Linked DNA regions of Caenorhabditis elegans. The protein of the gene in region 2 purifies or fractionates together with the protein of the main gene of each other region. This does not show direct contact. Each region holds a gene or a part of one and is shown on either strand. Other genes may lie near its edges.

The links.
Region 1: the proteins of rsr-1 (region 2) and snr-1 fractionate together in Caenorhabditis elegans (co-fractionation; one large-scale study listed by BioGRID). This does not show direct contact.

What each region holds. Positions count from the first base shown.
Region 1 is NC_003282.8:17,086,278-17,089,452, reverse strand, and holds snr-1 (Small nuclear ribonucleoprotein Sm D3), read right to left. Parts: upstream 1,405-3,175; 5' UTR 1,395-1,404; coding exon 1,319-1,394; intron 1,269-1,318; coding exon 1,141-1,268; intron 1,090-1,140; coding exon 883-1,089; 3' UTR 603-882; downstream 1-602. Other genes in the region: Y116A8C.43 (Lipoprotein), read right to left, coding at 1-48, 100-306, 432-602; snx-13 (Sorting nexin-13), read left to right, coding at 2,124-2,230, 2,277-2,478, 2,527-2,648, 2,725-2,966, 3,018-3,116. UniProt on the Caenorhabditis elegans protein: Plays a role in pre-mRNA splicing as a core component of the spliceosomal U1, U2, U4 and U5 small nuclear ribonucleoproteins (snRNPs), the building blocks of the spliceosome.
Region 2 is NC_003279.8:11,177,297-11,183,695, forward strand, and holds rsr-1 (PWI domain-containing protein), read right to left. Parts: upstream 4,768-6,399; 5' UTR 4,767-4,767; coding exon 4,656-4,766; intron 4,503-4,655; coding exon 4,356-4,502; intron 3,273-4,355; coding exon 1,797-3,272; intron 841-1,796; coding exon 769-840; 3' UTR 552-768; downstream 1-551. Other genes in the region: F28D9.4 (Transmembrane protein 242), read right to left, coding at 306-426; sri-5 (Serpentine Receptor, class T), read left to right, coding at 5,521-5,688.

The sequences.
Region 1 (3,175 bases), on a different chromosome or scaffold from region 2:
GTTTAGTTGTGATTTTGAAAGATCATCTACTTTTTTATAATTTTCAAGCTGAAAATTTCAGAATTTAAAAGTTCATTTCTTCGACTATAAACTACAAACTCCACGGAGGTTCTCCCTCGAATCGATAATCAAATATTTGCAATTGAGCATCTTAAAATCGGTATTATTCAATATTTGGAGGGAATTTCCCCCGAAAAACACGAAATTATTGCATTTTTGAAACGGAAAAAATGTTCCAGACTCTTCCCAAGTGAAATATTCCGAGAGAGCACATCGTTTTACAGTGTACGGCAGATGTGAAAGCTTCTGAACAGAGAAATAAAAAAAATAACAGAATATTCGCGACCGCGACGCAATAGCAAGCGGAGCGGCTCGAAAAAAAACGTGGATTTTCAAGTTTTTCGCTCAATTTTTTGCGAAAAATTACTCACTTTGCCGGTAAACTCTAAATATTTTAGCACACACTGGTCTGCCCGTGCCAAAAGTTTGGCTCTATCCTCTATCCCTTTTGGAAAATGCTCTGCATCATCGAATGCTCCATTTAAATGCGAATAAAAGAATAAGGAGAACAAAAAGAAGACGACTGGCGAATGATTTACCATTTCGCCAGTTATATTCTAGGCGAATACCACACTTTGGAATTGTGGTAATCTTACAGGGAAATCTCCGAAACCAGTTTGTCGTCGTCTTTTTTCTGGAAAATAATTTATGAAAAATGAAGTATGATTCAACAAATAACAAAGTGCGGAGCCGGGACAAGCAGGAGATCACGTCAAATTCAACGGTCTGCGCACGCTTTGAAAAGAAGAGAAACTGGAAGAATGGGGGACTCGAGAGAGAGAAAAAATACAGAGAATTGATTATATTTGCGCCGTGTTGTGCTTATCCACGGAACGTTGGAGCTCCTCCCGGGCGAGACATTCCACGTGGTCCTCCACGGCCCATTGGTCGACGGAAAGCGGTTCCACGTCCTCTTCCACGCTGATCGAGACCTCCCAAACCCATTCCAATGGCTCCTTTCTGGGCTCTTCCGATATTTTTGAACATTGGCGCGTTTTTGAGCATATCCGGCAGAATCATGAATCGGATCTGGAAATTGATTGGTTTACAGCTGAAATTTAGAGAAAAATGGTGAAAAACCTTGTTTCCGCGAATGAAAACGTTGTCCAATTGATGACTTCTTCCGTCGCGGAAAGTCACAACGGTTTCAGCCAGCTGACAGTTCATGTTGTCTTCGGCTTCAGAAAGTTTTCCTCGGTAAACTTCGCCTGGAATAGAAAAGTATTTATTGAGCGACGGGAAATTCGAAAATGATTACCTGTAACGGTTTCGAGCGTGACCATGTGACCTTCGGCCTCATGAAGAATCTTGATTGGGACACCAACTGAAGTCATTCTGAAAATTTTGATTCTGTAGATTCGGCTTGAAGGGAGAAAACGTTAGAAAAAAGAAGTAGAATCGCCTAAAATTTCAGATTTTCACACTTTTCACGGTAAAGTTTGTTCTCATTTGAAATATGCTGAGCATAATAGACAAAAAAGGAATAAAACCCCGAAAATGAAGTTTTTTCGGAAAATTCTAGAATTTGCACGCGTTGCAAGAAAAATGTGGCAACAAATGGATTTCCAGATGAGAAAAATGTGTTTTAGAACTTTATTTTGAAGAAAATCTAGAAATAAAACGGTTTTTCTTTCTAAAAATTACGAAAAATGAAGAGCTCAAAATGAAAAATGAAGGGAATAAAATTCGAAAATAAGGCACGCGACGCAGCACGCAGCGTGTGCAGTGGGGCGCGTTTGCGGGAAGGGCCTCATGAAGTTAACTTCCCGGAGACGCAAGAACGCCGAAATTGGAGACTAGCATTTATGTAAAATGCAAATTTAAATATTTAATTAAATGAAAACTATTATATTATTCTTAATCAATTATAAATACTAAAAAAATACAGCAATTTTCATTTGTAAAGCTGCCAGAAACTATTTCAAATCTCACGTTCCCTTGTCCCCGAGATACTAGTTTTACGGAATGCGCATAGAATTTTTTAATTATTTACCAGATTTTACAGATGAATTTCCATAATTTTATGTAAAATATGAAGAAAAATCGGAAAATTCTCTAGAAAAATGTCAAATCGGCTTTATATTCTCCTTGCTGTAGTCCTTTTCCTAGCAACATTCGGTTCAACCGGTCTAATCGTTCTTCCAGCCAGTATCCTCTGTTTCGTAGCGGGGTAAGCTTTAATTCTTTAGAAAAACCTTAAACTGGAATACCTTCAGATTTCTCTACATTTTCTATCAAACGGGACACGAAAAACATGACGAAATCGCTGGAATTTTATCCGAAAATCTGCAAAAAGGAAAATTATCTGCGGGAATTGAGGCTCTGCTGAAAAATGGAAAACGACTCAAAGAGCAAAATCAATATGTGGAGGTGCATTCAATGTGCAATTCACCGCAATTAGATTTGGTTTTAGAACAAGTAGGGATTTATGTGGACTGAAATGTTATTAAAAATATTTTTTTTTAGATTCTCGGCAATATAACACGGGATTACGTCGGCTTTTGGTATAAAACACTTTCAAATGATAATATTTTTGAACAAAGCTTAAAGAGAACCTCCCGAAGATCAATTGCCTCATTGACACAATGGTGTGTAGCTCATTAATAAAATTTTATTTTATAAAACAAAAAATGGAAAAAAATCAATAAAATCTCAAATTTCCAGTCTCCGCCAGGTTGATTGGGTTCCATTGCTCACGCGTGACGTTGTCGACGATTTTGCTTCTCATTTACGGCTTTTCCGGAAAGCTAAGGAAAGAACTGCATTTCAAGCGAAGGAAAAAGATAAAACATTATCCCCTGAAGATTTGGAAGCGGAATTGCTCAGCAATTTCTTTGATTTTGAGCTGGAAATGGAAAAATCGTTGTGTAGAGATCTTCTTTCAACTACACCGCATTATGAAAATGGTAAAAATTGAGATTTTCGATGAAAAAATTCAATTTTTTCCGATTTTTCAGCCTATCTTCATGATCTTGTCGATATAATTCTCTATTTAATAATGCCACCGGAAGATTTTAGATGTCGGCCGCTGAGATTCTTGCTTCGAGAAGTTGTTGGTCAGTGTCGGAAGATATTCAGGAAATTGAGAAAAATTGAAAAAATAAAATCAATTTTT
Region 2 (6,399 bases):
ATTTTGAAAGAAATTCAATTTTTTGACGAAAAATCTCTTTTTAGCAGGAAAGTTGTGCTATCCTCGCTGAAAATCGATTGGTTGAGGGGCTCACAGGCTACAAACTACAAAAAATCGAGCGCCTCAACCAAATTTTTTTTTGCAAAAATGCAAAAAACTCCAGTTTTTGCTCTTTTCTGTGCGATTTTTCGGTAATTTTCTTCTGATTCAGTTCAACATTTTGCGGGAAAATTGAAATTTTTATCAAAAATCCTCAATTTTCTCCGTTTTTTTTGGCAATTTTCCAGCTTTTTCCACACACACACCAGATTTAATATATCCAGCCGTATTGCTCGTATCAATTCTGTCAAGTGCGACAAGTGCGTGTCCCGACAGAGAGGACGGTGTTGCTGCTGGGCTGCTGCTCAATGACGTCACGTCGCTCATACACCTGCAACACAGTTTTGGGCTCTTTCTAGCCTTTTCTGGGCTCCAAAAATGAGATATTTCAGGCCAATTTTGAAGGCTGAGGCTAAAAATTTTGAATTTTGAAAAGAAAATTACAATAAAAATCGAGGCGAGACAGTTTAATAGATTAAAAAATGATGAATAAAACAGATTTTTAGACTTGTTTAGCGGAGGGGAACAGCAGGAAAAAAGAGAAAAACGATTTAAAAAATGTGGAAAAAAAAGAAAAAATAAATAAATGAGAGGACAGAGACCATTTTTTAACAATAAAAAAAAGTAATCAATAGGAAAATGAAAAAAAATTAAAATTTTTTTTTAGTTTCAGTCACTTTCAGATCCCGATTCGGATGCGCTTGGTGAACGGCGTTTTCGGTGTTTTTTGCTCTTTTTCTCCTGAAAAATTCGAGTTTATTCGGGGGAAATTGTGTAGTTTGTAGTCTGAGCCTCTACCAATTTTTTTTTTGTAAATTTTTGGTGGAATATAGCTCTAAAACGTGATTTCCTACATTTTTCAGACCAATTTTGCCCGAAAAGTTTGAAAAAATCGACGAAAACACCGCCTCAACCAAAATTGGTAATTTTTACAGTTTTCCGTGAATTTTTAGCGCAAAAATAGTTTTTTTTAAGTTTTAAACGAAAATTAAAACGATTTTGATCGCAAAAATTTTATTTTTGAATTTTTCTGGAAAGTTCTGGACTTTTTCTATGTTTTTCCTTGTTTTTTTTTAGAAAAATCAGATATTTTTTGATTTTTTTACTGTGGTTTTCCGTGAAAATTTTGAAAATTTCAGTTTTTCTTCCAGAAAATACGAAAATTTTTCGGATTTTCTCCCTGTTTTTCAGGAAAAAATCCTAAATTTTTGAATTTTTATTGTGATTTTTCTGGAAAAAAAAACAGAAAATTGCCGATTTTTGGAACCAATAAAAAAATCATCGAATTTACGATTTTTCCCTATTTCTAAGCTCAAAATTTCAAGATTTTCCAGATTTTTCATGAATTTCAATGAATTTTTGAATTTTTTTCTGGAAAATCCGGGATTTTTCGATTTTTTTCCTCGTTTTTCAGAAAAAAAAATCAGACATTTTTGAATTTTTCTGTTTTTTTCCGAGAAAATCCGGAAAATTCCCGATTTTTTCAGCGTTTTTCAGGAAAATGTGGAAATTTTTCTCGATTTTCTCCCTCCTTTTCAGATAAAAAATCTCAAATTTTTCAACTTTTCGGTGGTTTTTCTGAGATAATGTGGAATTTTTTTTCCAATTTTTCAGGAAAAAAGCAGGGAATTGCAGATTTTTTTAATGTTCACAATTTTTAAGCTCAAAATTTCTTCGATTTTCCATATTTTCAGCACCTTCTTATGCTTCTTGGCGGCCTTCTTCTCCTTCTTTGCCTTCTTACGACGACGCTCCTCTTCCGCCTCCGAATCAACAGAAACATCAGAATCCGTATCATTCGGCCGCCGTTTCTTCATTTCCGGGCTCTTTACGGCCACCGGAGCCTGCTGCTCCGAATCCTGACGTGGTCTACGTGGTGGTGGTGGTGGGCTTCTGCTTCTGGATGATGATGATGGGGAGCGGCGTCTTCGCGGGGATCTTCGTCTCTGTGGGCTCTGGCGACGGCGGGGAGCTGCTGCTGGGGAGCGGCGACGTCGTGGGCTTCTAGATTTTGAGCCGGATGGAGAGCGGCGGCGTCTTGGAGCCTGTGGGCTTTTCGACGGGGAGCGGCGTCTTCGTGGAGCCGGGCTTTTGGATTGAGATGGAGATCTGCGACGTCTTGGAGCCGGAGGGCTTTTGGATCTAGATTTGGCTCTTTTTGGAGCCGGTGGGCTCTTTGAAGCTGACGGGGATCGGCGTCTCCGAGCTGGAGGAATTTCTCTTTTTGGAGCCGGGCTTCTGGATTTGGACGGGGAGCGGCGTCTTCGTGGAGCCGGTGGGCTCTTTGAAGCTGACGGAGATCGGCGTCTCCGAGCCGGCGGACTTTTGGATCTAGATTTTGCTCTTTTTGGAGCCGGCGGTGGGCTTTTCGAAGCTGACGGGGATCTTCTTCTTCTTGCTGGAGCCGGTGGGCTTTTCGATCTGGATTTTGCTCTTTTTGGAGCTGGGCTCTTGGATTGAGATGGTGAGCGGCGTCTTCTCGCTGGCGGGGGGCTCTTCGACGCAGATGGAGACCTGCGTCGTCTCGGGCTTCCAGACTTGGCTCTGGCCGCCACTGAAGCTATAGCCTTCTGACGGAGCTCTGCCTCTTCATGACGCTTTTTACGCTCAATTTCTCGCCGACGCGACTCTTCCTCCCGCTCTTTCTCGTCACGGACTGGACGGCGATCCTCCCGACGATCCCGACGATCTCCTCCCCGTGCCGGCGGAGATCCACGTCGTCGTGGTGGGCTTCTTCTGGTGTCTCTTCGCGGGGATCCTCTTCTCGGCGAGCCCCTTCTCGGCGGTGATCTTCTCCGATTCCCGGCAGATCCACCTCGTCTGGCGGCCGGTGATCCTCCACCACCATCTCCTCCAGGACTCGCATTCCGTCGTGGCGGAGTTTTTCTCGGGCTCAGCGCTCTTGCCGGAATACGATCGTCGCGGACGGCTTTCTCCCGAGCCGGACCAGTGTACCGCCCGTTACTCAGGGTCTTGTAGCGATTTGTCCAGTCGTTATCCTCCCGATCGTCGCCCTTCTCATCACGATCATTTGTCTTCATCTCGGCCATCTTCTGATTGACTAGCGATGCTGGAATTCCGTCTTCTGATGCATTTGCCTCGATGAGCAGATTCCAGAGGTCGCCGACAAATTCCCGGGCGCGACGGGCGTTCAGGAAGCCTGTGACGTTGATCTGAAAGTAAATTGAGATTATTGAGGCGGTTATGTGGCTACAAACTACAAAAACAGCTGATTTTTTGCGAATTTGAAGGTAAAAATTTGAAATTAAAAGCGTTTTCTCATGATTTTCAGGTTTTTTGATAGAAAATTTGCTGTAATTCTGACATTTTACAGTGATTTTTTCTGAAATTAAAAAAAGCTTGGTTGAGGCTCAGAGACTACAAACTACAAAGTCTAGTGAGCCTCAACCAAGCAAATTTATTTTAAAAATGAAGTTACTTGCATGAAATTTTGCCGATTTTCGTAGTTTTTGGTCTCTGAAAGTCGATTTTTCGGTCAAAAATCTAATTTTTACGGAAAATTAATTATCTAAAAAGCTCAAAAACTGCCAATTTGCTGCAAAAAATTCAAAAAAAAATCTTGGTTGAGGCTCAGAGACTACAAACTACAAAGTCGTGTGAGCCTCAACCAAGCTTTTTTTTTTGAAAATGAGGCGATTTCCATGGAAATTTTGCCAATTTTCGTGGTTTTTGTCCTATAAAAGTGGATTTTTGGTCAAAAATCAATACTTTTAGGAAATTCAGCGTGTAGAACTGCTTAAAAACACCAAATTTGCTGCAAAAAATTCGAAAAAAATCTTGGTTGAGGCTCAGAGACTACAAACTACAAAGTCTAGTGAGCCTCAACCAAGCGAATGTTTTTGAAAATGAGGCGATTTGCATGAAATTTTGCCAATTTTCGTGGTTTTTGTCCTATGAAAGTCGATTTTTCGGTCAAAAATTTAATTTTTACGGAAAATTAATTATCTAAATAGCTCAAAAACGCCATATTTATTGCAAAAATTCGAGAAAAATAAATGTTGGTTGAGGCTCAGAGACTACAAACTACAAAGTCGTGTGAGCCTCACCCAAAGGATTTTCTCAAAAATAAGCAAATTTTACCGAAATTTGACGGTTTTACGGCCAAACGAGCAAATTTTCTTTAAAATGAGGTGATTTCCATCCTTTTTTTTGCCAATTTTCATAGTTTTTGGCCTCTAAAAGTCGATTTTTCGGTCAAAAATCCGATTTTCACAGGGTTTTTCGCTACAATTTACCTGTAAAAGCTTCGGATTCAAATTCTTATCATCAATCTGTGATAGAATATACTCGACAACGACATCATCCTCCATCCCCAGTATATCGTTGACACGGGCCGTAATCCACGGCTTGATGACGTCCATATTGCAGCGATTCAGGTCGATCTTGAAGAAAAGCCAATTTGTATAACCTTTAATTATCGAGTATTAGATGATAATTTTTTGGAATTTACTGGAAATTCACTGGAAAAATCGCAATTTCTCGCTAGATTTTTGAGCTTTGAGCGTATTTTGGCTCTCTGGCAGAATTTATTTTACCTTTTGCTCTAACTGCGGCTCAAACTTCATCGTTTTCAACAATTTCTTCTCTTTATCCGAAAATCGTCCATCCTGCTCTGAGTTGGCTCCGCGAAAGTAGCCGGCGTCCATTCTGAAATTGAAAAATTTGAACTTTTAATAGCGCAATCGTGTAGAAGAGCAGAAAACTAGAAAAAATCGATATTTCCGCTCATTTTCAGTGTTTAAACGCGAATTTTCCTAGCAAACACCTAAATTCTCGCAGAAAACTTGATTTTAAGCCAAAATTTCTCAAAAACTCGAAAATACTCCAGTTTAAGAAATATTTTAAGCTTCCTTTTACTGGAAAAACCCAGATATTCGGTGTGCAAACAGTAAAAACTTGCAAAATTTCGAAAATATCTTTTTCCCCCTGTTTTCAGCCAAATTTTTTTAGATTTGTAGATTTTTAGACTAAAAAAGTGATATTTTACGCGAAAATCGCTATTTTTTCAATAAAACACAAGAAAATTTCAAGAAAAACCAAATAAATCCGCAAAAAACCACGAAAAATCCCTGAAAAACCAATAAAAACGCAGCGTCGTCGCAAAAAACGCGCCAGCAGCCCGCCTTGCGCGTTTCTCGTGCACGCTGGCGCATTTCTCGATTTCGGCGGAAATTCAAATATGAAATTCAATTTTTCTCCCAAAATTGAGCCCCAGAGCACTTTTCCGCTGAGCAAGTGTGCAAAAACGATCAAAAATGATTAGAAAATCACATTTGTTATGCAAATTATGCCAGCTGAGAATGTGTAACCACCCAAGCGCATAACTTATTCTATTATTGGTCTCGGTCTGCCGGGTTTTCGCGATTTTTCTTCATTTTTTCAGCTTTTCCAGCCAAAAAAATGGGCTCTGCCACGTGGATTTGTCCGTATGGGCCTCCGGATTATTACATGAAGACTCTGCAATTAATCGGACTATTTTCATTGCCAATTAATTTCTTGTGCTTTTATTTTGTGTGGTTTTATACACCAAAAGAGTCAAAATTTCGATATTGTTTAGCTTATTTTCAGGTGATTTTTGTAGTCTATAGTCTGCACTACAAACTACAGAAAAGCTCGTGTACTCCCGGTGGACAAGCGACCGGTGAAAATTCTTCTTTTTATTTTCTTCATTAAAATTTTTGGATACTTGCGGCTAATTTTTTTTGTTTTTAACGGTCAAGTCACTAACTTATACAGTTTTTGGGTTAAAAACTGCTGAAAAATATAAAATTTTCACTTAAAAACTGTGTTTGATTAGCGAAAACCGACAAAAAACCGCCAAAACTGAAACTAAAAACTTGTACTCGGGGAGTACACGAGCTGCGTAAATCGACACATGACCCCTTTGCCGGTTTACTGGAAATTTTCAATTCCGGCAATTTGCCGATTTGCCGGATATTTTAAGTTCCGGCAATTTGCCGATTTGCCGGGAATTTAATTTTAGGCATTTTGCCGGTTTACCGATTTACCGGAAATTTCAATTCCGGCAATTTTTCGATTTGTCAGAACTTTCCAATTCCGGCAGTTTGCCGATTTGCCGGAAATTTTCAATCCGGCAATTTGTCGAGTCGCCGGAAATTTCAATTCCGGCAATTTGCTGATTTGCCGGAAATTTTCCATTCCGGCAATTTGCCGGTTTGCCGGAAATTTTTCAGTTTTGGCAATCTCTGAGCCTCAACTAATATTATAAACTCCGTGTGTTTGAGTCAAAAAGTTGGTTGAGGCTAATAGCCTTTTGTA